Macaca fascicularis: one gene and its partners. The protein of the gene in region 2 interacts with the protein of the main gene of each other region in a pairwise test. Links are inferred from orthologs where the notes say so. Each region holds a gene or a part of one and is shown on either strand. Other genes may lie near its edges. The genes, in order: ATOX1, FAM118A and MOB3C.

Region 1 (10,510 bases), on a different chromosome or scaffold from region 2:
GGGCAACATGGTAAAACCCTATTTCTACAAAACGTACCAAAAAAATTAGCCAGGCATGGTGGCACATGCCTGTACTCCCAGCTACTTTGGGGGGCTGAGGTGGGAAGATCGTTTGAGCCCAGGAGGTTGAGGCTGCAGTGAGCCTAGATCATGCCACTGCACTGCAGTGGAGGCAACAGAGCAACACCCTGTCTCAAAAAAAATAAATAAATAAGAAAAAAAAAGAAAGATTTTTAAAAAGTAACAATTTGAAAAAATTTTGTCTTTTTCTATTTCTTTGCTTCAAAAAATTTTTTTAAGTAATTTTGAATCGCTCACATGCAGGGTTTTTTGTTTGTTTGTTTTGTTTTTTGAGATGGAGTCTCACTCTGTCGCTCAGGCTGGAGTGCAGTGGCACATGATCTCAGCTCGCTGCAACCTCTGCCTCCTGGGTTCAAGCAATTTCTGGCAAATTTTTTGTATTTTTCATAAAGATGGGGTTTCACCATGTTGGCCAGGCTGGTCTTGAACGCCTGACCTCAAGTAATCTGCCCACTTTGGCCTCCCAACGTGATAGGGTTACAGGCATGAGCCACTGCACCTGGCCACACGTAGATATCCTTAAAGCACCTCTTTTCAACAATCAGTCTCATCCAGCCTTGTCATTTCACATCTGGGGAAACTGAGGCCCAGAGAGGGCTGGGATCTGGTCCTGGGACTGAATGAGGTAATAACTGAGTTGTGATCAGAGTTTTGGCGATGCCAGTCAGCCTTCTAAGACTTTTTCTTTTCTTGTTCCCCTACATGAACTGTCACACAATCTTCTAAAATTTTCTGTTTTAAAACCCTAAATAATAATGACATTAAGTTTTCAAATGGCTTCCACATGGACGTGATCTCATTAGCAGTCCTCTGAGCTGTACTTTTCATCTTTGGAATGAGGATGTTGATGCCAGTACCCAGGAGGTTAAGTGACTTGCCCAGAGTCCCGCAGCAAGTCAGTGGCTGACCTCTGGCCCTGTAAACTGGAATCTTAATCTGAGAGAAACTGAAACAGTGGAAAGAACCTGGCTGCTGACTTTCCATATGACTGTGGGCCCTTGTTTCTCAGGCCTGGGTTTCCCCAGCTGTGGTATAGGAATGTATATCTTGTGTATCTGTATCAACTTCTACTGTTGATGCTTTTTTTTTTTTTTTTTTTTGAGATGGGGTTTCCCTGTTTTGCCCAGGCTGGAGTGAAGTGGCATGATCTCTGCTCACTACAACCTGCTTCACGTGCCCTCCACTGGATTCAAGTGATTCTCCTGCCTTAGCCTCCCGAGTAGCTGGGATTATAGGTGCCTGCCACCGTGCCTGGCTAATTTTTTTTTTTTTTTTTTTTTTTTTTCCCCTGAGATGGAGTTTCACTCTTGTTGCCCAGGCCAGAATGCAATGTCGTGATCTCAGCTCACCGCAACCTCCGCCTCCCGGGTTCCAGCAGTTCTCCTGCCTCAGTCTCCCGAGTAGCTGGGATTACAGGCGCGGGCCACCACACCCAGCTAATTTTGTATTTTTAGTAGAGACGGGGTTTCTCCATGTTGGACAGACTGGTCTCAAACTCCTGATGTCAGGTGATCCTCTCTCCTTGGCCCCCCAGAATGCTGGGATTACAGGCATGAGCCACTGCGCCCGGCCTGTTGACGCTTTAAAAATGAAACTGCACAGGAGCCCCTCAAATAAAGCAGCAGGCTCTGGATGAAGTGGGAACGGGCCTAATTTTGTTTGACAGCTCAAGGACACCTACCCACCCCAGGAACTTCATCCAGGCCAGAGTGTAGTGGCGCGACCTCAGCTCACTGCAGCCTCAACCTCCCAGGCTCAAGTGATCCTCCCACCTCAGCCTTCTGAATAGCTGGGACTACAGGATCACACCGGGCTATTTTTTTTTTTTTTTTTGTAGAGACAAGATCTCACTTTGTTGCCCAGGCTGGGAAACCATATGATTTTTGGTTTTGTTTTTGGTTTTGGTTTTGGTTTTTTTGAGACGGAGTCTTGCTCTGTCACCCAGGCTGGACTGTCGCCCAGGCTGGAGTGCAGTGGCCGAATCTCAGCTCACTACAAGCTCCGCCTCCTGAGTTTATGCCATTCTCCTGCCTCAGCCTCCCGAGTAGCTGGGACTACAGGCGCCTGCCACCTCGCCCGGCTAGTTTTTTGTATTTTTTAGTAGAGGCGGGGTTTCACCGTGTTAGCCAGGATGCTCTCGATCTCCTGACCTCGTGATCTGCCCGTCTGGGCCTCCCAATGTGCTGGGATTACAGGCTTGAGCCACCGCGCCCAGCCTGTTTTTGTTTTTGAGAAGGAGTCTCACTCTGTCTCCCAGGCTGGAGTGCAGTGGTGTGATCTCGGCTCTCTGCAACCTCTGCCTCCCAGGTTCAAGCACTTCTCCTGCCCCAGCCTCCCAAGTAGTTGGGATTACAGGCACATGCCACCACACTGAGCTAATTTTTATATTTTTATATATTTTATTAAAATATAAAATTATTTTTTTATATTTTTTATATATGGAGTTTCACTATGTTAGCCAGGCTGGTCTCGAACTCCTGACCTCAAGTGATCCACTCGCCTCAGCCTCCCAAAGTGCTGGGATTACAGGCATGAGCCACCACGCCCAGCCAACCATATGATTTTTAAGGCCCCTTGCTGGAGGATCTGCCTTTGAGCTTTGGCAGGTTTCTCCCCATCTTTTCCTACTGTCCCTGCTTGGATGGCCTCTTGAGAAAGTCAGGAGGGTTTTTTGAGTTGCTTAGGGCCCTAAAAGAAGAGTGCGAGGGCTGAGGAATCACAGATTAATAGCATTCTTGAGCTGGAAAGACCACAGGAGCTGGCCAGCCCTGAATCCTTCATGTACAGATGAGGTAACTGAGGCCTATGAGAAACAGGACCCCACCCCTGCCATCCATGGTCACCCAGCAAGTCAATGGTGAGGCCAGGCCTAGAACCTCTCAAGACTTTTCCTTTCTTTCTGTGTGCTCTTTTGTCAGAGTAAAACTCTGGGTCCTCTCATGTGCTGCTGGGGGGCTATAAATTGGCATAGTCATTTAGGAGGGCAATTTTGCAATGTCTATTAAACATTCAAAATGTGTCAAACATCTGTCGCCCCACAATTTCCATTCTGTGAATTCACTGTATAAAAATATTTTTATAAGTTTTTTTAAGACAAGTTCAAGTATGTTTGCTATAACATTGTGATAGTGGTGAAAAATTAGAAGCATCCTCAATGACCTTTAACATGGATTAATTAAGTGGATGTGTGGTACGTTCACACTATGGAAGATTGTAGCTTTTAAAAAAAGAATAGGGCCAGGCACTGTGGCTCACGCCTGTAATCCTAACACTTTGGGAGACTGAGGCAGGTGGATCACCTGAGGTCAGGAATTCAAGACCAACCTGGCCAACATGGCAAGACCCCATCTCTACTAAAAATACAAAAATTAGCCAGGCATGGTGGCTTATGCCTGTAATCCCAGCTACTCGGGAGGCTGAGGCAGAAGAATCGCTTGAACCCAGGAGGCAGAGGCTACAGTGAGCTGAGATCACATCACTGCACTCCAGCCTGGGAGACAGAGCAAGACTCTGTCTCAAAAAAAAAAAAAAAAAAAAAAAAAAAATGGGCTGGGTGCAGTGGCTCACACCTGTAGTCCTAGCACTTTGGGAAGCCAAGGCAGGCAGATCGCTTGAGCCCAGAAGTTCAAGACCAGCCTGGGCAATATGCAAAAGCCTGTCTCTACATAAAATACAAAACTTAACCAGGCATGGTGGCATGTGCCTGCAGTCACAGCAACATGGGAGGCTGAGATGGGAGGATCACCTGAGCCTGGGTGTTCAAGGATACAGTGATTTGTGATTGTGCCACTGCACTCCAGCCTGGATAACACAATGAGACCGTGTCTCTAAATAAATAAATAAATAAAAGTAATAAATAAAGAAAAAAGTAAAATATTAGCAAGACCTGTTTATGTAGTGTGATGCCATTTGGAGAAATTATTTTTCATTTGTCTATCTGGGACAAAGTCTGGATAGAAGCCGGACTGTTCACAGTGATCTCAAGGGGTAGGATCAATAGGGGGCCTTACTGCTTCTACTTTTATTTAGAAATGTTTGCTTTTTTGGAAAAAAAAAATGTCTATATTACCTTTGCAATTAAAAAAAAAAAAACGTGGCTGGGCGCAGTGCCTCATGCCTGTAATCCCAGCACTTTGGGAGGCCAACGCGGGCAGATCACTTGAGATTAGGAGTTTGAGACCAACCTGGCCAACATGACAAAACCCTGTCTCTACTAAAAATACAAAAATTAGCCAGATGTGGTGGCGTATGGCTGTAATCCCAGCTATTCTGGAGGCTGAGGCATGAGAATCACTTGAACCCCGGAGGTGGAGGTTGCAGTGAGCTGAGATTGTGCCACTGCACTCCAGCCTGGGCAACAGAGTGAGTCTCTGTCTCAAAAAGCCCTAGTATAGAGCAGGGATCAGCACACTACAGCCCATGGACCAAATCCTGCTCACAGCCTATTTTTGTATGTTCAAGAATAGAGTTATAAAAAAATATGCAGAATATACAACAGAGTCCATATGTGGCCCACAGTGCCTACAACATTTACTTTCTGGCCCATTACAGAAGAAGTTCGCCAATCCCTGCTCTACAGGAAAGGGCAAGGGTGGTTGTGAGTAGTAATTTAGAGCCTGAACTCTTTCTTGCTATATAACTGGGAGGGTCTGTGCTTCCTTTCCCCATACCCCATTTCCTCTTCCTGCAGGAGTTAAGTATGACATTGACCTGCCCAACAAGAAGATCTGCATTGAATCTGAGCACAGCGTGGACACTCTGCTTGCAACCCTGAAGAAAACAGGAAAGACTGTTTCCTACCTTGGCCTCGAGTAGTAGGCACCTGGTCCCCACAGCCCACAGGATGGACCAAAGTGGGCAGGTGGGTAAGGCCCCATCACTTGCTGAACAAACCTGCTGCTCACACCTCTCATCAGAGCTAACACCTTGGCCTTTGAGAGCTTGAGTGGAGCAGAAGAGCCCCCTGGGTTCTTTTCAATCCACTGTCTACCTTCTTTGAAGTGGTTACAAATATTTTATTATTGTCTAATGCAAATCACAAGTTCAGGGAATTCTTACAGCCCCTGTGAGTGGACAGAGCACTGTAAAGTCTCCCAGAGTCCTCTTTCGGACTTGGGGGTTGCAGTTCATGGATAGCAGGGTTTAAGTTTACAGTCTATGACCCTAAGCAGTGCATTTTGGCTCCTTTGTTTGTTCGTTTGTTTGAGACGGTGTTTCACTATGTGGCCCAGGCTGGAGGGTAGTAACTCTTCATAGGTGTGATCATAGTGCACTATAGCCTTTAACTCCGGGGCTCAAGTGATCCTCCTGCCTCAGCCTTCTAAGTAGCTGGAGCTGTAGGCACATATCACCACACATGGCTCTGGCTTTGATAAACTGACTGTCTCATCAGAGTTGACACTTATGCCTTGGGCCTTATTCTCCTGTGCCCTGACCAAGTGAGTTAATACAGACTGTGCCGCCCTCTCTACTTGAAACTGTTAGCTTCCTGAGCATGCCCTCTGTCCAGACTGGTACAAAAACAATAGCATGTTTGAGCTAGATGTTCCCTTCACTTTTATGTAATCCAGTGAGGCAGTAAGGGGCACTGTGCCACCAGTCTTCACTCTGGAACCAGGCAGACCTTACTCATTGATCCAGCCAGTCTCAGCAGGGCACTTCTGGCTGCCATTGCCCATGTAGCACATTTGACTCGTGAATTACAATGATCACCACATCTCTGATGTGGTTTGGTGCCCTGACTGTGACTGAGAAAAATGAGGCCAAGAGAGGGGAAGCGATTCAACCAAAGTCCCACCCAGGTGAGTGGCAGAGGCAGGAAGAAAGTCAGATATCCTGAATCGGGGTTCTGTAACTGTTACTGGTGGCATTGTCCCTGTGAATGGGCCCACGGAGACCCCGCAGACAGAGGCCAGCCACAACTGACTGGTAGGTCCTCTTCGAGGATAGCCTCCTTCCCAAAGGCGTACATTTGGAACCTGAGCCATGGCAGTGTTCTGTGTATGTGGTAACATCACATGCAAGTCACAAGATGTCAGATGCATCTGTTTTCGTCATGCACTTTCCATCCATAGATAGAATGCATATTCAGGAATGAGCCCAGGATGAATAACGAGGAATCTGGGATTCTGATTCCAACTCTGTCCTCATTTCACACTGACTTTGGGGACTTTTTACATTACAGAGATTTGGTCTTCCCATCGGTAAAATGGGGCTAACACCTCCAACCTGCTTTCCTGCCTTGTGGGGATTGGTGTGCAATCTCTCCACATATGAAGGCTTATCCTCTAGGGAAGTAAAACATCAGCTGTTTCCAGCATGTTGAAGAATAGTGTTTCTTACATCATTCCTCTACCCCTAGGGTTTCGTAGGGAGGGTGAGTGGATGGGGGCTCTGGACCTTCCATAGCTCCCAAACAGCCCTGTGTCATATTGGGCTTCCTGTAAGATTGTATTTTATGAAAATGCTCTGTAACAAGAAGGAATGGAGGGAGAGAAGAAAAAAAAAAACTCTTCCTGAACTAGCTATATACATGGGGGAGCCCTAATGCACACATCTTGGATTAGAAACTCCAGGCCTCGGCATATGAATTTTTTTAACTAAAAAAGTAATATCTGTTGGATGTAAACCATGTGTAGCTTAATGTGTTTTTCTCATAGAAAACATGTTTTCTCATGTTATTTTATTGAGATGAAATTCACAAGACATAATAATTAACTATTTTAACCCATTTATGCTGAATATTGCAAAGTTTTTTATGTGAAAAATCAAACCTTGGTGATGACCTTGAGCAGTAGGATATAAATAACTCCCACAAGCTTAGCATTCCAATAATGGAACACTAGGCATAAATGGGCTAAAGTCTATCATTTAGTGGCATTTGTTGCATTCACAATGTATGACCACCACCTCTCTCTAGTTTCAAAACTTTTTCATCATGTCAGAAACACACCCTATATCCATTAAGAAGTCACTCCCCACTACCCATTTCTCCATCCCCTGGCAGCCACTAATTTGCTTTCTACTACTACTCTGGATTTGCCTACCCTGGACAGATCATATAAAAGGCATTACATTATATGTGACCTTTTTGTGTCTGCCTTTTTCCATGTAGCATAATGTTTTCAAGATTCATTCAGGTCATATCATGTATCTGTAAATCATTCCTTCCTATGGCTTAGTAATTTTCATGGCACTTTTTATTTATTTTAGATTTTTTATGATAGGAAGTTTCAAACACATGTAAGTAGAGTGATAGAATGAATCCCCAAGTACCCGTCACCCAGATCCAACAATTAGTGTTTATTTCACCAAGGCCTGTTATTTTTTGATAAAAGCACTCTGTGACAAGAAGGAATGAAGGGAGAGAAGGAAAAAAACTCTTCCGGAGCTATCTATATCCATGTGGGGGAGCCCTAATGCACACATCTTGAATTAGAAACTCCACTGTCCTCATTGTTTCATCTGGGTAACGAAACACCCAGATTATTTTGAAGCAAATTCTAGACATCATGCCCACTCCCTCCTGCCCAGATTGTTTTGAAGCAACTTCTAGACATCATACAATCTTATCTGTACATATTTCAGTAACCATGTATTGTATGGAAAGGCTCCTGGAAATTCAGATGCACAGTACTCAGTAAGAATCACCTAAATAAGCCAGCTTTAGTCCACGTGCTCAGGCAACATGTCTTTGAAGTCTGCTCTAAGAGGTTCCTCAGTGACCCACTTGAAGCCAGGCTTGGGAACCTCAAAGATAGAGTGTTTATTGGTTTTGAAGTCACCTTAATCATCTGACTCTTGGCAGATTTATTTGCTCAAGCTTTTGTTCATTGCCTTTCCAACATAAACTGTAACAGGACAGGGAGTGCTGTTGACTGAGTATCCTGGCAGCCCTGGAAATTCCCCACAAGAGGGCTTTGGCAGTGATTGGCTTAGCAAGGTTAATGCGTTCCAGCCAACCTGAGTATAACAGGTTCATGGGAGTATAACAGACTTCATGGGAGCAGTGTGCAGGGCTGGACATTGGGGTTCTAGTCCTGCCCCTGCATCTGCACCCTAGGTTTTCCCCTCACCCCTGCCTCTTTGTGCATTTATTGCCTTTGCAATATCGCTATGTCCACAGCAGATGGCGCCTTTGTTCCACCTAACTTTCCGTCTTTCCTAGGATGCTGATCCTCCTCCCCTGGCTTCCAGACAGACCTGGGACTTGGCAGTCATGCTGGGCAATGGTGTTCCTGTGGAGACCCTCAGTTGTCCTATTCCTTCCTAGCTTCCCCGCAATAAAATCAAGCTGCTTTTGTTGGAGATGTTGTCTTGCCTAGTCTTGGTGTTGCTTGCTCACATGTAGGTGGTTACGCTTACTCGGGTTGGAGTTTTGAGAGTTCCCACCTGGAAGTCAGACACCCTGTAGATTCTGATTCTTTGCTGTGTGATCTTTAGCAAATCACTTCCCCTCTCTGGGCCTCATTTTTTCCTCACTATAAAGTAAAGGCATTGACCCAGAACAGTGATCCCCTTTCTTTTCACCGGTTTCGTAGATTTCATATTTTGAAAAACTTTTGTCTATCAGGTGAATTGCACAAAAGGTTATCAAATGTTAAGGCAAGTGGAATAGTGGGAAGAGGCTGTGGAGACAAACTGCCTGGGATAGAGTTCAAGCTCCAGTACCTCCCAGCTGGGCCACTTAACCTCTCAGTGTCCACAGACATAAAATGTGATGATAGCATCTACTGCAAATGGTGGTTGTGGGGATTAAATGAAGTGATACGTATAAATCAATTAGAGCAGTGATTGCTGGTTAAAAATCACTCAGAAAATATTAGTGATTCATTTTTGGCTTTTTGTTTGTTTTGAGATGGGATTTCTCTCTGTCACCCAGGCTGGAGTGCAGTGGTGCAATCAGGGCTTACTGCAGCTTTGACCTCCCGGGCTCAAGCAATACTCCCACTCTTGCCTCCCAAGTAGCTGGGACTACAGGCACATGTCATCATGCCCAGTTCACCTTTTTTTTTTTTTTTAGTTTTTTTCTAGAAATGGGGTCTTGCTATGTTGCCCAGGTTGATCTTGAACTCCTGAGCTCAAGCAATCCTCCTGCCTTGGCCTCCCAAAGTGCCTTGAACTCCTGCCCTCAGGTGATACACCCGCCTCAGCCTCCCGTAGTGCTGGGATTATGGGTATGAACCACTGCACCTGGCTGCCACTCATTTTTAAAATATTTCATTAGTCAAAAATCTGTCACAATGGCAATTTGAATTCCAGTCAGGCTGAGTCAGGTTGAAACTAGTCAGGTTGGAGTGCAGTGGCATGATCATAGCTCCCTGTAACCTCTAACTTCTGGGGTCAAGCAATCCTCCTGCTACAGCCTCCTGAGTAGATCTTATATACTCTTAAAAATTATTGAGGATCTTGGCCAGGTGCAGTGGCTCACACCTGTAATCCTAGCACTTTGGGAGACTGAGGCGGGTGGATCACTTCAGGTCAAGAGTTTGGGACCAGCCTGGCCAATATGGTGAAACCCCGTCTCTACTAAAAATACAAAAATTAGTCGGGCGTGGTGGCACATGCCTGTAATCCCATGTACTCTGGAGGCTGAGGCAGGAGAATCGCTTGAACCCAGGGGGCGGAGGTTGCAGTGAACTGATATTGCATCACTTCACTCTAGCCTGGGCGAAAGAGCGAAACTCCGTCTCAAAAAAAAAAAAAATTAAAAATTTATCAAACAGTTTTGGTTATGTGGGTTATACTACATTAGAAATTACAACAGGAATTTTTAAAACAAAAATACCCAGGCACACATCCCATTAGCCATTGGGACTAGATGAAGTCACTGCATTCATTTAGACTCTGGAAAACTTTACCGTACAATTGTTAAGGAGGAAAAGGCATCTTACAGAAGCTTTTAAATTTAACCTCATGTGCCTTCTGAAAGGCTCTTGTGGGTCACATGTTGAGAATCACCACTTTAACCATTTATTGGGCACTTACTGGGGACCCAGGTCTGCTGGAGACTGGAATAAGACCTGGCTCTGCACTTGACCAGCTCAGACATGGGACCAGCCACCTCATCTATCTCATGGGCAGTTTCCTCATCTGCGCAATGCATAATGCCTGCACCTCGGGGAATTTAGTAGCCAGAAATAACATTTTATTTCAACTCTAAACTGATTGCAAGCATAATTTCCATCCCATTATGAAAGTACTAAACAAATCTCAGGGCCATTTCTGCCTTTGTGGCCCCTCGAGTTCAGGGACTCCTTCCCAGCCCACAAGGTAAATGTGTTTCTTGACCACCAGATGGCAGTGTCTCCTGGACTTGACCATCCACAAAGAAGTTTAAGACAGTTTCTTTTTAAAGAACAGTTTCTCTGGGCTCTGAGAGAACAAACTTGATTTTTTCCATTTTTAGTTGCCCTGGAGGTCTGGTGCA
Region 2 (10,510 bases):
GCCACAGAGGCAGGTGTATGTATCCAGCTGTGAACTTGGAGACTAGAGAATGCACAGATAATCCAACAGCTCAGGTTTTTCTTGTTTTTTTAACCACTATCATTTCTTTTCAAAATTGCTAATAATTAGCAAAATGGACCAATGTAAGTTCCATTTCCATAAATAAAAGTATAATTCTTATTAAGGGCAGAAGAAAGGAGCTCCTGCTTGCCGTGTGTCACCCCCTACTAGGAGTTCCATATTCTTACCTTAGTTGGGTTTTCAGTGGCAGCACGCAGCGCCAGTAAGCAGACGATTTCGTAGACGAGACGAGCGGAGCTGGCACAGGCACACAACGTGCCCAGTTAGCGCCCAGACATTTTGAAGCTGGGATTGGGATCCTGGCCTGACTGCAGAGCAAAATACACCATTTGGTGCGTCCTGGCACCAGCCCAGTGCGTGGCTCTGCAGAGAGGCAGCGGGCTTTCCTCATGTCTGCCCCCGTCCGCCGCTTCTCATTCCGCCCCCACACTCCCCGAAGAACAGGGCCCAGAGCAACCCTGCATGTGCTCGGGCTCCTGGAGTGGGGCTGAGCAGCTTTCTGTCGCGCTGAGGCTCCCTTTCCAGGTTGGGGCAGGCAAGTGGATTCGACAGGCTGCCGGAAGACTGCAAGGTCACTGGGAGTTTTAATCTGTGACTGTCATGAAGGACATTTGTACTCGAATTCATGGAGTGCCACTCCTGATGGGAGAGGAGGCCCATGCCAGTGACAGTCATGTTAGCGACCACGGACACCACGCCACGCTCCCTGTGCCAGCTGGCGCCTTCAGCGAGTCCTCGCACCAAGCCTGGAAGGTGCAGAAGAGAGGGCAGCGGGCGGCCCAGGAGCCCACCTTCCGTGTGGGCCGAGCTGCCCAGAAGCCTGTTGCCAGTCACTGCCGTTCCTAGTCACTGCCTGCCAGCGGCTGAGGAGGACGAGCTCTGGGTGTCTCGGCTCCACTGACTGCTTTTCTTTCTCCTTCAGATGCTGACCGAGTGGACAGCACCACATTATTGGGTAAAGCAGATCTTTCTTCTCGCCAGCCTGTTTTTTGCCTACACATTCCATTGTCTTCTGTCATTCACTGTAAAATCATAAACGTTTGTTTTTCACCTTAAATAATTAGCTTGTATTAAGACAGCCCCACTGAAGATGATAAATAGCCATGCATTAGCATGGTGCCTGCCACACCGAGACACTAAAAGCCATCCCTTTGACGAGGAAGCACAGCCGGATCACACGTGGGCCAGCTGGCACCTGAGAATAATTTCTTGCCCTAGAACCAAGAGTGACAGGGGACTTGGAACAGGTTCTATTTGTGGGATACCATGTGGGGCAAGATGCAGTGCCTTAGAATGACCCAGCTCTTCCGCAGCGTTCATTGCACGGGTCTGAGCTTTCACACAGAAGCTTCTATTTAATCCTTGTTTGAAATGTGAACGCTCTTATTGCTGGGCTCAGTTCTGCCTGGTTATACATTTAACAAGACTTGGTGGCTACAAGCGTCCTCCTGTGTGTGAACTGGGCACCAGGTGCCTCCCCTTGCTGAGCCATTTGGGTAAAAGGGACTCTGGTGAGTGGCGCAGAGGCCTCTGTCGCAGCCCCGTTTTCCCTGCCTGTTTGGCCCAGTGCGTTCACAGATGAGAAAACGCGCATCGATGTGGGAGCTGCTCGCATCACATCCATGTTAGCGGTGCGGGAGGTATAAAACCGCCGCAGTCAGCTTCCCATCCACCTATTCCCATGCGAAAGGACATCTTTATTACAGTCGCTTTCTTACTGAAATGCGACTCCCGGAAGCATGGCTTTCTTTGGAGAGAAGCCGTGGTGCGGTCAGTGTCATCTGCAGGGGATGGCAGGGTCTGTTTGGCCTATGCTTCAGTAAGGTCACATTTATAAACTGTGCCTCGGCGGGTGGATTCTAAATAAACAAGCTTAATACATTTTCCTCTTTCAGGTAATGCATGCCAGGACTGTGCAAAGAGGAAGTTAGAAGAGAATGGAATTGAAGTTTCAAAAAAACTCAGACAATCAGATACTGGTATTGTGTCCGTTCTTTTTGTGGGGAGCTGCCTCAGGTCGGTCTGGTTGGCAGGCATCTTCAGGGACCATGCCGCGCTTTAATGCTCCGGGCCCTGTGGTGGGAGGATGGTGCATACATTCTGTCAGGGCCAGAGAGCACAGGAGGCTTAGCAGAGACCCTGACCTCTCACCCCAACCCAATTCCAACTGCCCAGAGGTGCTGGTGCCTCTTTAGAAAACTGTTATGGAGAAAACATACACTAGGAAGGTGCAGCGGGCAGAAGGGTGCTGTCTACAAAAAGAAAAGTTAAAAACATGAATAAAAAGTGCACAAGTTATGTAAGGTCAGCTCAGTGCATTTTTGCAAAGTGCACGCTCCCATCTAATCACACCCAGTTGAGGTAGCAGCATTGCCAGGACCCCCCTTGTCACTCTCCAGCCTTCTCCAGCCCCTAAGGGTGACCACTAGCCTGATGCATGTCACCCGAGTCCTGTAGAAAAGCACTTTAAATCATTTGAGCTGTGCTGCCTGTTACAGACTGAGATGTAAGTGACTGAACTATCTAAACAGTGTATTTGAATAGGCCTCTCTGTTGACACTACGAAGGGCGATCTCGCTCGTTCGTGCCGGTCCCTCCCTCTCCCCTTCTCCTCCTCCTCCCAGGTTTGCGTAGTGCTGTGTGTTATTTCTCATTCTTTAAATAACAGACTTAAGCCAGACTTCCCAACACGAAGCCTGGGCTGGATGGCCCCCCGCTTGCGTATCCCACCCCCTGGCCCGCCGGCTTCCCCGTTTTGTTGGTCTCCGTGGTGACAGGACAGAAGGGAAATGAGACCCCCAGTCTGTCTGTAGGTTGACTGTAAAAGTCGGCAAACAAAAGCATTTCCTTGATGAAAACAGCGTCAGTGTTCTTTCCTGCTTAGCCAGCTTGTGGCGGTGGCCGTGGGCCCAGTGCCACGGCACCTGTGCCAGCTGCAGATGTGTTCTCAATGTCAGGGTCAAATGTGGCTTGTTCTTACATTCCATTCTCCCATGTTTTATTGTTTAATATTGGGGCTTTGAGACATTTGTGTTACTTCTTATTTTTTGAGGAGTTTTTAGGTTCTTCTTTCCCCTTTGTTTTCCAAAAAATAACATTTCCCAATATTCTTAAATGTATGCATTCCCTCAGCTTTCAGAACTAAGAATTTTTTTTTAAAAAAAGTATGCATTCTCTTCATCCTGCCACCCCACGTCTCCCAGGACACCTTCTCCTGGTCAGCTCTGTGGGGGACTGCTGTGTGCCTGCCTCCCGAGCTTCCCTCCTCCTCTCTGAGATGGAGGCCCAGGTCTCCCTTGTTCTGGCCCCCCGTCCATCCTGCTAGTAGCTCCTGAGGCTGCTTCTGCAGAGCCCTGTGCGGGGTCGCCTCCCGAGGGCGATGTGTCTGCAGGTGTCTGTGCCATCCTCACGCTCGTTGGTAGTTTTGGCGTGGGATTCTTGGTTGTGATTCCCCCAGACTCCACTGTCTGAAGACCAGGTTTCCTATGAAGAGGGTCTGATGGGAACCTGTTCCCAGTGATTTGAAGGTACCCGTTGCTTTTTTTCCTGGGAGTTTTTAGGGTCCCCTTTTCCCTTGAGTAGAAATCCAATGAGGATGTATTTAGGTGGAAAACTTTTTTTACCTGCCTTATTCACGTGTTCTTTTTCTTCCTCCATTTCTCCAGTTCTGGAATAGTCTGTGATTCTCTTTATTTCTTCTTTCCATCTTCTCTGTTCTCCCTTTCTGGAAGTCATACTAGTTGGGATTGCTTGGATTGATTTCCACTGTCTTTTAAGTTTTCTCTGATGTCTTTTTTTTATTTTTTGAGACAGAGTCTTCTGTCGCCCAGGCTGGAGTGCAGTGGCGCAATCTCGGCTCACTGCAACCTCTGCCTCTGGGGTTCGAGCCATTCTCCTGCCTCAGCCTCCTGAGCAGCTGGGACTACAGGCGCCCACCACCATGCCCGACTAATTTTGTATTTTTAGTATAGATGGGGTTTCACTATGTTGGCCAGGCTGGTCTCAAACTCCTGACCTTGTGATCCACCCACTTTGGCCTCCCAAACTGCTGGGATTATAGGCGTGAGCCACTGCACCCAGCCAAGCTCTAGTTTTCTTAGTTACCTTTTCTCAGAGCATCTGCTGTTCTATGTCTGTGAGAACTCTGGAGACAGAAGTCAATCTGGTTATCTGACTCTACTACATTCCTGAAAACAGTGGGAGAGAGGATTTTCATATAATAGGAGTTTATATTTTAGTACTTCATATAAGTAAACCAAAGTAAAACACTCTTAAATACCTACATAGCAGTCCACCAAAAATTTCTGAGAGCTATGAAGCGTCCAGCTTTTCAGTTACCTCTTCATTTAACATTGAAATCCTTCAGCGGGTGTGTTGGAGCAGTATTATGTCCCTGCATGTTCCTTCAACACCACAGGGACCATGTGCAACAGTACATGTTATAAAGATTCATAGTGAGTGCAAACTTAGTCAAGTAAAATAAGGCAGTTCTAAAAGGGCCAGCTGCAGAGTGAATTATAGCGCAAGTGAGGGCTGGCAGCAGGGGGTGGGGGTGCCCTAGTGTCCTGCCGTCCAGGGGCAGGAAAGATGAGAGTGAACTGGTGTGGGGGTCCTCATGGGAGAGCTGTGAGGGGCAGCTGTCGCAGACTCGACATCCTCTCGTTTAGTTTTATACAACTTTGGCCAGGCGCGGTGGCTCACACCTGTCGTCCCAGCACTTTGGGAGGCTGAGGCAGGTGGATCACCTGAGGTCAGGAGTTTGAGACCAGCCTGGCCAACATGGGGAAACCCCATCTCTACTGAAAATACAAAAATTAGCCAGGCGTGGTGGCACGTGCCTGTAGTCCCAGCTACTCAGGAGGCTGAGGCAGGAGAATTGCTTGAACCTGGGAGGCAGAGGTTGCAGTGAGCCGAGATTGTGCCATTGTACTCCAGCCAGGGTGACAGAGCAAGACTCCGTCTCAAAAAAGATAAAATAATAATAATAGTTTTATAGAACTTCAGGTGCACTTGGGGGCACACACGTTTTAGAGAATTAGATTTTGATAGTGTTTTGGATCAGACTGAAATATTTTTGCAAATATTTGGATTGTGAGTTCAGCTAGTAGAACCATTGTGTAAGTAAAAACAAAACACAAAACTGGTGTTCTGTGAACTGTTTCCTCTGGGGTAGGTGGTTCTTTCCCACAACTTTCTTTCATGTTCCTTGTTTGTTTTCTGCACATCTGGGCTCCTCCAGTGCCTGCTGACAAGAACGAAGGCCCGGGCAATTATGCTCAATAGATTGGCTTTCTTCTGCCGTTGCTCTTGTTTTGTGTACATAGATTTTGTCCCCCCGTAGCCTACCTCTGACTGGTGTGCACATCAGGAGGCAGGGCCTACTGCCTGGTAGACCTTGCTGTGGAGCATTGGGCAGGGATTTTCTTCAGTACCTGTGAGATCTGTGCTCCTAGACGCCATCACCTGCACCTGCAGTCCCAGTTGTCCCCACACAGTCATGTCTCCTTAGGGCGAAGCTCCTGGCCTCTGTTGTACAGAAAGCCTTGGCCTGTCCTGCATGTGGGTGAGAGAAGCCAAGCCCGGGGATCCCAGAGGAATCGACAGGCTGCTTCTCCATACCTCCAACAGGCTCTCACTGTATGTTTGTTGAAATTGCCCCATCCTCAGTCCACTAAGAAATAAAAGAGCATCCATGTTCATGGATTGAGATTCCCACAGATGGTTGCAAATGTAATTGTCATCACTTGCTTGATCCCCTGATGGTATTGATAATTACACAAGGTCATTTCCAGACAGTGACTACTGTTTCCATTGTGGAGGGGTTTTCTAAGTCTTCCGCATGTAAGAACAATTGTAAAGCAGTTTCTGAAATAGAAATCTATTGCAAATAATTTCTTTTAGCTGGACTTTAACCCTTGGGCATATCGTTCTTTTATTTAAACAGATGATGCTGGAGGGTCTTGAAATCTTTAAAACCAGTAAAACCTGCAACTTGAAAACCAGCCTTCTGTAACCACAGTGCCCAAACGAAGAGGAATGCGTGGAGAACTCCACGTGGATCTCTGATTGCAAAACCTCACATACACCAAGAGAGCCACATGGGCGTGTGGCCCTCAAGGCTGGGTGAGAGGGCTCCCCTGTGTGTTGAACTGTGCAGGAGGTGACGCGGACACACTTCAGGTGGACTTTGCAAGGACTGATGGACAGCTACCTCAGGGGCCAGGATCCATGGGAAGGGGTGGACCTGGTGTTCCCGTTCCCATCTGACAGGCTCTCTTTTGTCAAGGTGGTATTTTTTGTAATAAAAGGGGAAGAGTAAAGACTGTCCAAGCAACAGTAGTTGCCAAAGAGAAAATACGAAATAGACACTTTTTTTTTTTTTTTTTTGAGTCAGAGTCTCACTGTCACCCAGGACAGAGTGCAGTGGTGTGATCTCAGCTCACTGCAGCCTCCACCTCCTGGGCTCAAGTGATTCTCCTGCCTCAGCCTCCCGAGTAGCTGGGATTACAGGCGTCCACCACCATGCCTGGCTAATTTTTGTATTTTTAGTAGAGTTGGAGTTTCACCATGTTGGCCAGGCTGGTCTCGAACTCTTGACCTCAGGTGATCCACCTGCCTCAGCCTCCCAAAGTGCTGGGATTACAGGCATGAGCCACTGCGCCCAGCGAAATAAACACGTTATAATTTGTATGTGGAAACATGTTACTATAGAAAGCATTTTAAAGGTATGTTTGTTCCACTGTTAAATAGTAAAGAATGAATCCGCTAGTGAAAATGGTATGTTTTTAGGGAGAACAACTGGATCAAAGGGCTTCTTTGGAATTAGTTTTAGTAACTTCTGTTCCAAAGAAACACAGGTCTGATATTGCTAAGAACTGTGAAATCGGAGGAGCCAGAGGCCCTTTGCCGAAGTTCAGGCCAGCGTTGTGCAGGGCCACTGTGGCACTGACAACCAGGACAGCCCAAGTTTGAAAGACCAGGTTTCAAACATTATAAATTCCAGGCTTTGCAAGTCTGTTATTGTCTCTTAAAATTCTCTTCTATGGCCCATATTAAGGGAGTTTGCAGAGAGTGAGGGAGGCAAAACTTGAAAAGGGCCTGCAACACTTTAAACCTTCTCAGGTTCACCCACATGAAACGGCTGTGCTGGGTGCGCTGCTGGTGCCGGGGAACTTCTCTGACTGTGACACAGCAGCGGCTTCTGTGGTGGTTCATGAGTGGCCCTACGGTCAGGGGTTCTCTTTGGAAACAAACAGCCCTGCTTGGTTTCAGTTTGAGGCCACTTATCTTCAATGTGACATTTCTTGCCAAGCCCTGTGACACTCCCCATTGATGACTCCCACAGGTACAGAGAAAGTTAAGAACAGGAAATAGAAGGGTAGAATGCAAAGGGAGGGAGATAAGCCCTGAAAACTTTTTTTTTCTTTTTGAAGCATGGAAAACAAATATTTTATGCCACTCCAGCCATAAATAAAATTTTAACTTCAACCCTGTGTGCTCAGTGTTTCTTTAGTTATGCCAAGGCTTGCTAGAATGCTATTTAGTGAGAATTTGTAGCTTGAGTTGCCACCCAACTGTGAAATCAACTAAATGATTACTTGAATGTGTTTAAATGTTTTAAAAAGCAAACATTATAAATTATTGTTTTAAATGTCATTTACTAAGTGCAGTCAGGGAATATCTGAATCTGAGAGCTGGCCAGACACAGGGTATAGCAGAATTACAGGCGTAGAGGATGCTGTGCAGTAGGATGTAAAGCTCATTACAGCCCATTTTAAGAAAAGCTTTGTGTTCTCTGCTGGAGGACGCAGCCATGTTGCTGTACCACATGGATGTATCTAGTTGGTTCTGTTGTATGCTCGTTGTAGAATGTAAAGTTTATTCCAGTGCGATTGATAGATTAGAGGCAACTCCAGCATAGTGTACTTGCTTGTGTATAGTTTAGTCAGTGAGAAACATCACATGAGGAGGCAACAAAGTTGGCCCTGCTGTTTACTGCCTCAAGCTAGAATAGCCATTACATTTTAAAATGGTTACATTTTAAGGCAGGGTAGCTGAAACCTGTAATCCCAGCACTTTGGGAGGCTGAGGCGGGCAGACCACTTGAGGCCAGGAGTTTGAGACCAGCCTGGCCAACATGGTGAAACCCTGTCTCTACTAAAAATACAAAAATTAGCTTGGCGTGGTGGTGTGCGCCTGTAATCCCAGCTACTTGGGAGACTGACGCAGGAGAATCACTTGAACTAAGGAGGCAGAGGTTGCAGTGAGCCCAGATCGCACCACTGCAGTCCAGCCTGGTTGAGAGGGAAATTCCATCTAAAATAAATAAATAAAAAATAAAAATAAAATGGTTAAAATTTAAAGTTATACAAGTACCTGCTAAGAACCTCCTTACTATCTCAACAAAGCCTGAATATGTACTGTGGCCCTTAAATTAGGTTACTGGGCATGCTCTGTTATATCAGAAATGACTGAATTTGGTGGGATCACTGATGGTCTGTCTGTAAGTCAAAGTTATGAAAGAGAACAGCCAAGTGCGGCGGCTCACGCCTGTAATCCCAGCACTTTGAGAGGCTGAGACGGGTGGGATCGCTTAAGGCCAGGAGTTCGAGATCAGCCTGGCCAATGTGGTGAAACCTTGTCTCTGCTAAAAATACAAAAATCAGCAGGGCACGGTGGCGGGTGCCTGTAGTCCCAGCTACTTGGGAGGCTGAGGCAGGAGAATTGCTTGAACCCACGAGGTGGAGGTTGCAGTGAGTAGAGATCGTGCCACCGCACTGCAGCCTGGACGACAGAACGAGACTCCGTGTCAAAAAAGGACAAATAGAGTGGCTTCTGCTGTCTGCAGTTCATAGAGGTCAGCTATCTCACCGTACTGGAAGTCCCCCTCAGGGAAGGAACCAAATCTTTTTGAGATTTAATTTCTTCCTCACAGAGTGCATTCTGTTACTACATGAAACAGTGTTGTTAAAACGGATACATTTACTCAGGAGGCTACTCCTTGGTTAGCACTTGGGCCCAAAGCGGTCTAAAGTGGAAGCCCACCTCAGAATTTTCTTGTTCCTTTTTTTTTTTTTTTTTTTTTGAGACAGTCTCTGTCACCCAGGCTGGAGTACAGTGGTGCAATCGCAGGTCACTGCAGCCTCCACCTCCTGGGTTCAAGCAATTCTCCTGCCTCAGCCTCCCAAGTAGTTGGGATTACAGGTGCACTCCATCATGCCTGGCTAATTTTTGTATTTTTAGTAGAGACAGGGTTTCACATTGGCCAGGCTGGTCTCGAACTCCTGAGCTCAAGTGATCCACCCACCTCAGCCTCCCAAAGTGCTGGGATTACCAGCATGTGAGCTGCCGCGCCTGGCCTGTCTTGTTCCATTTTGAAGTGGAAATGAAGTGGTGAAAGTGCAGCTTTCCTGCACATAACAACGTTTGTAAGTAGAGAAGTCAGTTGTCACTTGAGAAACTCTGTATTCTTCAATATTTCTGTAACAGAAATTCTATTTAGAAGAATTCGGATTGCATTGAAACATGTAATTCAATTTCACCATTAAAGTATTTTTTGGCTTCTAAAATTCTACATTGGAGACATCTGAAATTAGAACATGTTTTATTGATATTTTCAATACTAACATAGTTTCTCTGAAACCATTTCCCAAAAGCCAGGTTCAACAGTTTATTAACAATCTTATAACTAGTATGTTTAAAAACCAAAGAGTAGTTCCCTTCAGGATTACTTGGGTACAAGGCAAGATCAGAGTGAAGATGAAGCCGAATTCAAAATTTTTCTAACCAGACTAGCTTATTTCAAAATAGAAGTTAGAATTATAGTACAAAGTTGTATCTTTTGTTTGTTTTTTAAAAACTCATTTAACACCAGCTCTCACTGAAAACTTTCCCTACTAACTAGAAAGGGGTCTGAACACTCAACTGAAGTGAGCTACAGCCTCTTTAGCTACAGCAACTAAGGTTTCTCTTAAAGGGTGCACCAGGCTGGTCCCGCTTGCTCCAGACGTCATCTGTGGAGGAGCTGTGTGAGTATTAGAGTGGAAACTGAACAGTGATCAGGAGCCCGCTGCAGGGCTGCCCCTAGCGGGACTCTCCGTGTCTCTTGCTTTCTTGGCCTTCAGTGTCTGGATACTGAGAAAGATCTAGGGTCAAAATTCGGCTGAACATGCAGTCATCGTACTAAAATAGAAGACAGTTAAAAGTTCTCTTAATTAGGGAAAAAGTATTAAAGTAAAATAAGAGCCATTAGTGAGTCTAGAATTGCATTTAAAAGGTATCTTCTTCAACCTAAAAAGATAACAGCATTTATATCGGTTGTGGGTTTTTTTGGTGTTATCTGGTAGGAGAATTTCCATTGCTCATGCATTATATTTCCAGGTGGTCCCCTAACATTCTGTAGGCACAGGAAGGTAAATTTTTACCTTTG
Region 3 (11,290 bases), on a different chromosome or scaffold from region 2:
TGCAGACTCCATTCATTGTAAATGTCTTATACAGCAGGATCATTTTTTATCTTATACTGTATTTTTACTGTACCTTTTCTATGTTTAGATATGTATAGATAAGTATTTACCATTATATTACAGTTGCCCACAGTATTCAGCACAGTAATATTCTGTACAGGTTTGCAGCCTAGGAGCAATAGGCTATATACCATCTAGGTTTGTGTAAATACATCCTATGATGTTTGCACAACAACCAAATCACCTAATGATACATTTCTCAGTGTAGTCCCCACTGTTAAGCAACGCTTGACTGTATACACATTAACAGTAACCACTAAAAAAAACCAAAAACAAAACACAATAACCAGTAGCATTTACTAAGGGCTGACCGTATACCAGGCACTGTGCTAAGTCCTTACATGGCTTATCTCAATCCTACCAACCCTATGAGGTTGGCAGGAACCTGCTGGTCGGTGACATGTGCTGCTCTCTCCTTGTACCCTTCTGCCCCAACTCCAGCTCAGAAAAGAAAGCAACCAGCCAGGCGCAGTGGCTCATACCTGTAATCCCAACACTTTGGGAGGCCAAGGTGGGCGGATCGCTTGAGACCAGGAGTTAGAGACCAGCCTGGTCAACGTAACGAAACCCCGTCTCTACTAAAAATACAAAAATTAGCTGGGCATGGTGGCACACACCTGTAATCCCAGCTACTCAGGCTGAGGTACAAGAATCACTTGAACCTGGGAGGTAGAGGTTGCAGTGAGCCCAGACTGTGCCACTGCACTTCAGCCTGGGTGATAGAGTGAGCCCCTTTCTCAAAAAAAAAAAAAAAAAAAAAAAGTCATGGTTGGCTCTGGAACCAGCCCTGAGAAACATGTCTTCCAATTTTCTTGCTGGTAACTAAAGAACAAAATGCATGCATTATGTACCTCTGATTCCTCCAGACAATTTTGCAAGACATCATGTTCTAACTAGGGAGGACTTCTTTTGGAGAACTTTGGTCTTGTCAATTCTTCTGATGTGACAGATTGATAACAACATCTTTATCCTTGTTCTGCTAAAAGGGAGAGCTGGAGCACAGAAAGGGAAGAGATGACTTCAAGGTTGCTGTCTGCATCAGGAGCCAACCCAGGAATAGATGACTGCCCATGCTCCACACTTAATAGGATCATTTGTAATGTCCACTGAGCTGGCTCATTCTTCACATTCACTTGAACAGGGCTACTTCTGAGGTCTTCAGGCTTTAGGAACTGGAATATCTACAAGAAAAATTAGTTCAAACCACTTATGAATCGTGACAGGTTCCCCAGAGCTTTCAGGACAAAGTCCTTTTAGATCAGCTCACAGGAGCTTCAGGATCCAGTGCATGGTGTCTTCTCCAGGCTCATTTTGTGCCTCTCCTACCCACTCCTTTGGCTCCAGCCATTCTGGATGACTTGCAGTTCCCTAAACACATTGTGCTCTTCCTACCTCTGTTCTGCTCTTTTCAAATACATTTGCCTGCTTCAAATACCTATTCCTCCTTAAGTTAATTCAAAGCTTCACTGTAGTATCTCTATGAGAAGCCTTCCCTGAGACCTATTCCCTTCCACATGGCCCCCCTGCAAGCCTGGCTTCCCCACCAGACTGAATAGCCCTTGGAGACTGGGATCATATCTTACTGGACATTATATTCCAAGTGTCCAACACGAGACCTGGTAGAGAGGGATAAGATACTCTGTGGATGCTGAATAAACTCCGTTTGAGTGACCACTAAACTCAGACCACCCAAGTCTACAAATATTGCTTGCAAAGTGAGATCCAGCTCTGACAAACACATTGTGGTTATGTCCCAGCCCAAGACAGTGGTCATTTTGCTTGCTCTTATTGCAGAGGCTACATGTGGAAAACCAAGCCAAGGGGCGAACAGAGAAGGCAGTCAGGTCCAGGGTTTGTAAGCAGAAAGAACTGAGAGATGATGATGAACAAACTTTTGGAGCAAAACAATTAAGTACCAGGCTGTCACTTTCAAATTCTTGTCTTGCCTTGCCAAACCTTAACATTAAAAAAGACCTGGTTGGGCGCGGTGGCTCACGCCTGTAATCCCAGCACCTTGGGAGGCTGAGGCGGGCGGATCACGAGGTCAGGAGATCGAGACCATCCTGGCTAACATGGTGAAGCCCCATCTCTACTAAAAATACAAAAAATTAGCCAGGCATGGTGGCGGGCACCTGTAGTCCCAGCTACTCAGGAGGCTGAGGCAGGAGAATGGTGTGAACCCGGGAGGCGGAGTTTGCAGTGAGCCAAGATTGCACCACTGCACTCCAACCTGGGGGACAGAGCAAGGCTCAGTCTCCAAAAAAACAAAAAAGACCTTACAGGCTAAGTGTGGTGGCTCATGCCTGTAATCCTAGCACGAGGTGGGCGGATCACCTGAAGTCAGGAGTTCGAGACCAGCCTGGCCGACATGGTGAAACCCCATCTCTACTAAAAATACAAAAATTAGCCAGGCATGGTGACAGGAGCCTGTAATCCCAGCTACTCAGGAGGCTGAGGCAGGAAAACTGCTTGAACCCGGGAGGGGAGGTTGCAGTGAGCCAAGATCGCGCTATTGCACTCCAGCCTGGTCAACAAAGTGAGACTCTGTCTCAAAAAAAAAAAGGTTGAGGGACGGCCGGGCGCGGTGGCTCACACCTGTAATCCCAGCACTTTGGGAGGCCAAGGAGGGCAGATCACCAAGTCAGGAGATTGAGACCATCCTGGCCAACATGGTGAAACCCTGTCTCTCCTAAAAATATAAAAATTAGCTGGGTTTGGTGCCTATAATCCCAGCTACTCGGGAGGCTGAGGCAGGAGACTGGCTTGAGCCAGGGAGTCAGAGGTTGCAGTGAGCCAAAGCCTGGCGACAGAGCAAGATTCCATCTCAAAAAAAAAAAGACCGTACAGACTATCCAATCACCAGTTTTCAAACTGTGCTTCGAGAAATCCCCAAAGTCCAGAGCTGGGGACCTTGGGAGTCTGACCCCCCAACTCAACCAGAGAATCTGTGTTTTATTTATGGGGCTTCTCATAAGCTGTCATCTGAAGAAACAGTTTTCAAGAAAGACTGAAAAAAAACCCTGGTCTAGTCTAATTCTCCCACCTACCATTGTAGGCCTCCCTACAGCACCACTAAGCCGTTGGACAACTGTTTAAAATTTTCCCGGGGACTGGAACTCTCTACCTGCTAACTGACCTGCACCATGCTGAGACAGCTCTGAGTAAGTCAGTTCTTCCCCACCCCTAGCCAAAATCTGGCCTCTTCTCACTACCCTCACCTCCTTCTGCCTGTTGTAGATGGAACCTCCCAGGAGAGTCTTCACTTTTCCACCTAACCACCTCTCCTGCTGATAAGCAAAAATAACTCTCAAGTTGCTTTGGCATCTCTTCAGCAGAACTGTCTGTCTTTAGTTATATGACCCAAAACCCCAGCCCCTCACCCTCTGGCTCACCTGCATCTGGACAGACTAGCCAGTGTCACCAGTGTCTGCCTCACAGTTGGAGCCCGGAGTTGAGCCCAAGATGCTCTTGTGGGGTATTCAGAGTGGATTCTGGGTGGCCATCCCTTGAGAGTTGGCATGGTCCACCTGGAAGTCATTTCCCCACATAGCCACTTACTGAAGTCATCTCACTGACTCCACCTTTCCTGGCCTTTGTCTTTATTCCCACCTTGCTATCTTCCCATAATCTGTTGTCAAACATTGCTTTTCCTGCCTGGAACTTTAGTCCTTTGGACCTCCACACATAGCCCCATTCCATCTGGCTGGTTTCAGTCCAGTGCTCCCATCACATCTTGACTTGAATCTTCACTCTACTGCCCAGAACCCATGTCCCTCCCAATAGATATGATATTCACGTGACCTTGGTCCTCTTCTACATCTGCCATGGCAGTAACCATAGATTAGTGATGTCCTCTCAAGATCTTCGTTTACCCAAAAAATATTTGCCATGGTTTGAAACAATCACTACTAGGTCATGCTTGATATGTGGTCCACTGTGACCCCACATCATGTTTGTTACTGCTATTTTTACCACACTAACAATATGGTATGGATCCCCATCTTGCACTCTCATTTCTTCAACCCACATTAATTCTCCCATTTTGACCTTGCCTCTGGTCAAGTAAGAAGTAGCAGACATGTCTTACATTTTGGCACTAATTTTGCAGGGGAAGAGAGGGAGCAGGGAGGTATTTTGCTGAATCTCACTTGGTGTGTGACCCCCAAAAGACTCTCTGAGATGCCTAAGTTTCTTTCATTTGATCTTTGCAACAATACCTTAAGAGTAATATGATTCCTTTTTTTTTTTTTTTTGGACAGAGTCTCACTCTTGTTGCCCACGCTGGAGTGCAGTGGCGCAATCTCGGCTCACTGCAACCTCTGCCTCCTGGTTCAAGGGATTCTCCTGCCTTAGCCTTCCGAGTAGCTGAGACTACAGGTGTGTGCCACCACGCCCAGCTAACTTTTTGTATTTTTAGTAGAGATGGGGTTTTGCCATGTTGGCCAGGCTGGTCTCAAACTCCTGACCTCTGGTGATCCACCTGCCTCGGCCTCCCAAAGTGCTGGGATTACAGGCATGAGCCACCACACCCGGCCAATATTATTCCCTATTTTACAAATGAGGACACTGGGGAAACAGCATCATAGATGTGAAGAGTCAGGACTAAATTAGAATCCCAGTTCTGCCTTTCGTTCACTGTCTGGCCTTAGACGAGTTATTCAGTCTCTCTGAGCCTTTGTGTTCTCATCTGTAAATAACATAATAATGGACCTATCTCAAAATATAAGAAAGGATTAAATGATGTAGCAAACACAGAGTGCTTAGCACTATAATAAAAGTGCAAAACGGTAGCTGGTTAAGTACCTTTTCAAGGTGCACATCTATACAGAGGAGGAGGAATTTCTGTTTCTGGAACATAAATCTTCTCCTAGAACTAGACCTTTCATTTATAGAACATATTTCTTTTGTACTATTTTTCTACACCATGTTTCAATTTTCAGAAAGTCTCTTCCAGGAATTTAGAGAGGCTTGAGCAGTGGTAATCATACCAGACCAGGGCACAGGCATCAGGAATCTGGGAGGTGGGCAGGCGAGCAGGCAGACCCAAAGCCTGGCAGCTAACATCTAGGTCGGAAGCCAGGTAACATCTGGAGTTTTGGGCCAAGGTGCAGGCCTGCCTGATTATTTGTAGATGGCTTATCTGAGACAAAGTTATTCCTGGTTACAGATGTCTATGTATTTAGTTCCTTGGCAACTTATTAAACATAACTGTTTACAGTTTAAAGAGACCAAATCTATCTAACCTTGTCATTTTCCTACCTGGCTGGGCATCAGAAACACCTGATGCACTTGTCAGAGCTGTCCATTCTTGAGCTTCACCATTGAGACATAGATTCTGTTGGCCTGGGGTGGGGCCTGAGAAACTATTAGGTTGGTGCGAAAGTAATTACAGTTTTTGCCATTTATGTCAAAAACGCAATTACTTTCGCACCAACTTAATATTTTTCTTTTCTTTTCTTTAACTCTCTCCAGGTAATTCTGAAACTCAGCCTGATTTGGGAACCCCTGCAATAAGTTTTTACTTTTACTTTGCACCTGAGGAAAAAGGCTCCAGACCAGGTGAAGTGACTTCCCCAAGGTCACACAGGGTATCGGTAGCAGCATTCCTTCTATCTCTTTGTTCCAAATTTTCTTTGCACTTCAGTCCAAGGCAACCCAACTGGAAAATATCTGAAAAAGACAAAGATTTTATTATTGTCTGCCTCTGGTAAAGATTTCTTGGATGAGACTAGCTGTTCCCAGCATGCCCTTAGGTAAGACCCCTATGGGGCAAGAGAGGAAAGCCTTCCCAGATGCTTGGAGTTCAGATGTTTTCCTTGTTTGATTTTGAAAGCTGAGAATTTCCCTGGCTCGTGACCCCTGGAAACAAATTCTGGATTATCTGTTGCGCTGGACTATCTGTGCCTGGCCCCTGCAGCTACATAGAGAATTGTGTGTTGCCTGCACAGGCTGAAGCTCTCCATCCATCCTGCATGCATTTTGTACTCGCCTATGGTGAGTGAGCAGAGGGGGATGATATATGGAAATCCAGGCAGGCAGCAGTGTCAGGGGAGGGGGTTGAGGGGTGTGAGGGATTGATGGGAACTCAGCTACAGAGCTCAGTTGGGAGACTCACACCCCATTGGAGCTAGGATTGATTGCTGGAACTTTCTCACCCTTCTCAGTTTGTCTCAGAGCCAGCAACCTGCACTGTGTCCTCTGGGCACCCCTGCGGAGAGGGAATTGCTCTCAAAGTCAGGGAAGCTCCAGTCTGTCAGTGATGGTCTACCTCATGCCCTCTTCCCAGAGGCAGGCAACTCGGCACTCTAGAAGCCGAGTGACCTTCAGACAGCCTTCTGTTTCCCTTTCTTCTCTCTGTACTTGGCCTCCTTCTTATCTGTTTTTCAACTCTCAGCTCACACTAAATGACTTCCTCCATTGGGTGCTATCTGTAGAATGTGTGGAATATGACCTGCCCCGGCAGATTTTGCAAGAGTATCAAAAGAGTGAGTGAGAAGTCTAAGGTGATGTCAAGGTTATGGAGGATGGTCGATGTACTTAATGCTGCCAATTGCTTTAACATGGATCCAGGCACAGATGTCTTATCATTTACTTTCCCAGGAGAGCATTTTTTTGAAAGTGTCTAACCCCCATTCAAACTGACTTGTTCTTTGCCTAACTTATATTTGCTAAGTGCTCAGGCAGTGTCGGGCAGAAGGATAGACCCTGTGACTGGACCTGTTTTTGAGTCTCAGCTCTGCTTGCTTGCTCTTTCTCTCTTTCTTTCTTTTTTTTTTTCTTTTTCTTTTTCTTTTTTTTCTGAGACGGAGTCTCGTTCTGTCGCCCAAGCTGGAGTGCAGTGGCCGGATCTTAGCTCACTTCAAGCTCCGCCTCCCAGGTTTATGCCATTCTCCTGCCTCAGCCTCCCAAGTAGCTGGGACTACAGGTGCCCGCCACCTCACCCAGCTAGTTTTTTGTACTTTTTAGTAGAGACGGGGTTTCACCGTGTTAGCCAGGATGATCTCTATCTCCTGACCTCGTGATCCACCCGTCTCAGCCTCCCAAAGTGCTGGGATTACAGGCTTGAGCCACCGCGCCCGGCCATCTTTCTTTCTTTTTTAAGATAAAAGTCTTGTTCTGTCACCCTGACTAGAGTGCCTTGGAGCAGTCTTGGCTCACGGCAACCTCCGCCTCCCAGGCTCAAACAATCCTCCTGCCTCAGCCTCCTGAATAGCTGGGACCATGGGCACTCACCACTGCACCTGGCTAATTTTTGTATTTTCTTAGTAGAGATGGGGTTTCGCCATGTTGCCCAGGCTGGTCTCTAACTCCTGAGCTCAAGCAATCTGCCACCTCAGCCTCCCAAAGTGCTAAGATTACAGGCATGAGCCACCTCACGCGGCCCAGCTCTGCCATTTCAAGCTGTACTTCTTGACCAAGTCATTTCACCTTTTGGAGCCAATACTCGCATTCCAAGGTTGTTGCAGGACTCAAGAATGACCAGAGTAGGCCAGGCGCAGTGGCTCACATGTGTAATCCCAGCACTTTGGGAGGCCGAGGCGGTGGATCACCTGAGGTAAGGCGTTCAAGACAAGCCTGGCCAACTATGGCGAAACCCTGTCTCTACAAAAATTAGCTGGGCATGGTGGTGTGTGCCTGTAATTCCAGCTACTCAGGAGGCTGAGGAAGGAGAATCGCTTGAACCTGGGAGGCGGAGGTTGCAGTAAACCGAGATCACGCCATTGTACTTCAGTCTGGGTGACAGAACGAGACTCCATCTAAAAAAAAAAAAAAAAAATAGTTAGTAAAAGCACTTTGTAAACCACCACAACATTCCTTACAACTGTCGGTTGCTGCTACAAGGTAATATGGGAGGAGGCAAAATAAATAAAACCCCAATTCTGAGGGCTTACAGTCCAAAAGGGAAGACGCAACCTCCATGGGCTTAACCAAGGAGCACAACTACAAACCACTGAGAACTTTTTGTGTCAAGGGCTCCCCCCTGAGGAGGGTTGGTTCCAGGCAACTGGTGTAATTTAGGAAAACTTCCTGGGAAAGAAGAGCATACCCTTAGTCTACTTAGCCTTAGGCAAAGCAGAGCTCCTACAGCTGCTTCTTGAAAAGGCCCCAAATGCAATTTGATGACATACTGGATTAACAACTGCTGGAAGTCACAAGCTGTACTTGTGTGGAATCCAGACTCTACAGGGTGCAGCATGAGTCTCCACCAAGAAGTGGACTCCACCCACCGAATTGCTGCTTCCCGCTGCAGCAGACACAGCTTTCCCATCTCCTGGACATGAAGCCAAGATGGGACCCAGAGAGAGCCGCAGTGTAGGGTTTGGAACATCATCTAAACATGGCCAATCCCTTCTCCCTACTTAGTGGAACTTTCTCTCCAGCCCCTCCATCCCTCTCTGAAGGGAAGAACAATTTAAAAGCTCTAGAAAGATAAACCTCCCTCTCTCCCAGGGTTGCTGAGAAGAAGAAATGAGAATATGCCTTTCAGGGAGAGGCATATGTAAGGTTCACTTAATGGTTTTTATTGTCATGATTCATCATTGGGCTGATCTCTTTCTCTCTCTATGTCTCAATTTTCCACATACTTCGAGGAGATCACACTAAGTGATATCCAAGAACCTTTCCCTTTTACAAGCCACCCCCTCCCTGACTTGTTGTTCAATAATATTCCTCTGTAGCCAATAGGACACGTGGGCCCAGTGGAACTTCCTTAGAAGACCGAGGCCTTTGTCACCACCCACAAAGCAAGGGGAAGGTCTACAACTGGCCAACATACAGTGCCTGACATCTAATGGGCCCTCAGTAAACACTTGTGGAATGTAAGAATGAATGAACAAATAGAAGAAAGTGATGTGTTTTCACACCACCATAATAATTTAAAGCATAATTTACCACCATTATTTTTTTATTTTTATTTTTTTGAGATGGAGTCTCGCTGTATCACCAAAGCTGGATCTTGGCTCACTGCAACCTCTGCCTCCTGGGTTCAAGTGATTCTCCTGCCTCAGCCTCCTGAGTATCTGGGATTACAGGTGCAAGCCACCATGCCTGGCTAATTTTTGTGTTTTTAGTAGAGGTGGGGTTTCGCTATGTTGGCCAAGCTGGTCTCAAACTCCTGACCTCTTGTGATTCGCCTGCCTTGGCCTCCCAAAGTGCTGGGATTACAGGCATGAGTCACTGCGCCCGGCCATAATTTACTACCATTATTGCTAAAAGATAACACCCAGGCCTCTGGGGACCATAAAAACCCCCATCCCTGCTGGCAACTCTGAGGCAGGGAGGCAGGTGTTACTGAACTCACTTGGAGAAGGGATGCTGTGCTGTGGAGAAAGGAGGAGGGTGCATCCAGACTGGGGCAATCTGAGGGCTTTCTGTAGAAAAGTTTTGAACTAAGTAGGGGTTGCTCTATGCAGGCAGCCCCAGAGGCTGAAATGGAGGCACCCCAGCAGCAGAGGAGGGGCCAGGGTTGGACAGAATTTCCTGGGCAGCCTTCATGGTGGGTTCTATGGAAGGCTGAGCCTGGAACACTGGTGAAACCACCCCTCCCCCACAACTATCACCTCCACTCCCGGGGCACCCCAGGCTGGGAACTAACCCAAATGGTTGGAGGGGACAATGCCTACTGGGACCATGTTGAGGGTGAGGTCTGAGGGCTGTGAAATTGTCTTCAGGCACTTATGCATACCAGGCTTCCACCCCAGTCTCCAGAGGTCCCCTTCCCAAGATGGAAGAGATGAGAGCAATGCCTCTACCTTAAGGGGAGAGGGCTGGGAAGGAGGAGTAGCTTGGAGCAGAGAACACTGGAGCCTGAGGTTCTTAGAAGCAAGAGGGCCCTCCCCTTCTCTGGAGGGACTGAAACCCTCTGAAGTCCATGTCACCAGGGGCTGGTAACTTCTGCTTACACCGCTCCCTCCCGAGAGAACAGCACAGCCATCCAGGCTGCATGGTTGGACAGCTCTGATATGCCAAGCGCCCCTTCATATTGTCCTGGGTGTCTGCCCACTGCTCTCCAGGACCCTGGAGCAAGCTCAGTCCCTCTTCCACACAAACACCTGCTGGGTGTTTGAAGGCAGCACCCCTGAAACAGACTGACCACAGCCTTCTACTGTTTCCAAGGGCTATCACATTTGATTCTCTCAGCTCTTCTGTGGGGCAGATGTTGTTGTTGTTGTCTTTACTTTAGAGAAGGGGAAATAGGCTCAGAGAACAAGTGCCTTGTCCATAGTCACACAGAATTTTAGTGCATATCCTTGTCAACCTTGTCTTACCCTGCCATCTTCCCTTGAACCTTGTCTCCTTCAAGTGAAAGGAAGTCTAACCTCAATTCCTCTGAATGCCATAAGGGTGCCCATGGCATTCTCCTCAGTGGGCCAGGATGGAAAATCCAGGATAGATGAGCCTGCCTCCTGGGCAGGGAGGGGCAGAAGCTGAAATGGAAACTCTTTCTTGGGAGAGAGTGAGGAGAGGGTGGGCCCCATCAGGCTATAGTAGCTGCCAGACATCTGGTAAGGTGAACTGAGGGTGCAGTAGCTCATTGTGTGGGGCAGGGAGGGAGGGGGAACTTTCTTGGCATAGGAAGGGCTGTGGAGTCCCCAGGAAGTGGCCACTCTGTATCAGTGGAGTCACTGGATACAGGCCTCCAGTGGGAAGGCACAGGAAGCTGGTTCTGATACGGTACTTGGAGTGGTACTTGGTGTGGCTAGAAGATGCTTTCATGGTACAGGTGTAGAAACTGAGGCCCAGAGAGGGGCAAGGGCTTTCCCAAAGGCACACAGCAGGCAGACACCACCCTGCTGCCACTCAGAGTTCCCACTGCAAGGGGGGCCTGTGCCCAGGCTGAGTAGTGGAAAAGGTCACGTCCTATCGTAGGTCCTCACTGGCTCACGCCAAGCTTCAGAGATGAGCCTTGTTTAAACTCTTCTGGAGCCATTTATCATACTCAGGGCACAGTGGCAGGGAACAGAGCCTGTCTTGTGTAGGTATCCAGTGCTGTAGGGTTGCAGTGTGCCATCAGAGAGGGCAAAACCATCCCAAGGCCACACAGCGAAATTATGGTAAAGCCAGGACACTGTTCTCCAAGGTCTGGGTCTTTTCAGCCCCAGCAGAGCCTCCTAGAAGAACTAGTCTCTCTAACCAGGACTGAGAAGGGCAGGAAGAGGGTACAGGTAGTTGAGAGATCTGGGCTTTCTGGCTTCCCCCAAACCTTCCACCTGCTTCCCATCCCACAGAC

What was found.
Region 1: the proteins of FAM118A (region 2) and ATOX1 interact in binary tests that used the Homo sapiens proteins (3 or more experiments, as listed by UniProt). The two-hybrid records come from large-scale screens. The link is inferred for Macaca fascicularis from reciprocal best matches to the Homo sapiens genes FAM118A and ATOX1.
Region 3: the proteins of FAM118A (region 2) and MOB3C interact in binary tests that used the Homo sapiens proteins (3 or more experiments, as listed by UniProt). The link is inferred for Macaca fascicularis from reciprocal best matches to the Homo sapiens genes FAM118A and MOB3C.

The regions. Positions count from the first base shown.
Region 1 is NC_088380.1:158,587,142-158,597,651, reverse strand, and holds part of ATOX1 (copper transport protein ATOX1), read left to right. Parts: intron 1-4,771; coding exon 4,772-4,896; 3' UTR 4,897-4,942; intron 4,943-8,248; exon of another isoform or gene 8,249-8,388; intron 8,389-10,510. UniProt on the Homo sapiens protein: Binds and deliver cytosolic copper to the copper ATPase proteins. May be important in cellular antioxidant defense.
Region 2 is NC_088384.1:6,241,177-6,251,686, reverse strand, and holds the end of FAM118A (protein FAM118A), read left to right. Parts: intron 1-1,003; coding exon 1,004-1,036; intron 1,037-1,976; coding exon 1,977-2,060; intron 2,061-5,590; coding exon 5,591-5,718; intron 5,719-6,025; coding exon 6,026-6,094; 3' UTR 6,095-7,569; downstream 7,570-10,510.
Region 3 is NC_088375.1:188,069,023-188,080,312, forward strand, and holds the start of MOB3C (MOB kinase activator 3C), read left to right. Parts: upstream 1-5,865; 5' UTR 5,866-6,054; intron 6,055-11,290. Other genes in the region: ATPAF1 (ATP synthase mitochondrial F1 complex assembly factor 1), read left to right, coding at 1,047-1,170. UniProt on the Homo sapiens protein: May regulate the activity of kinases.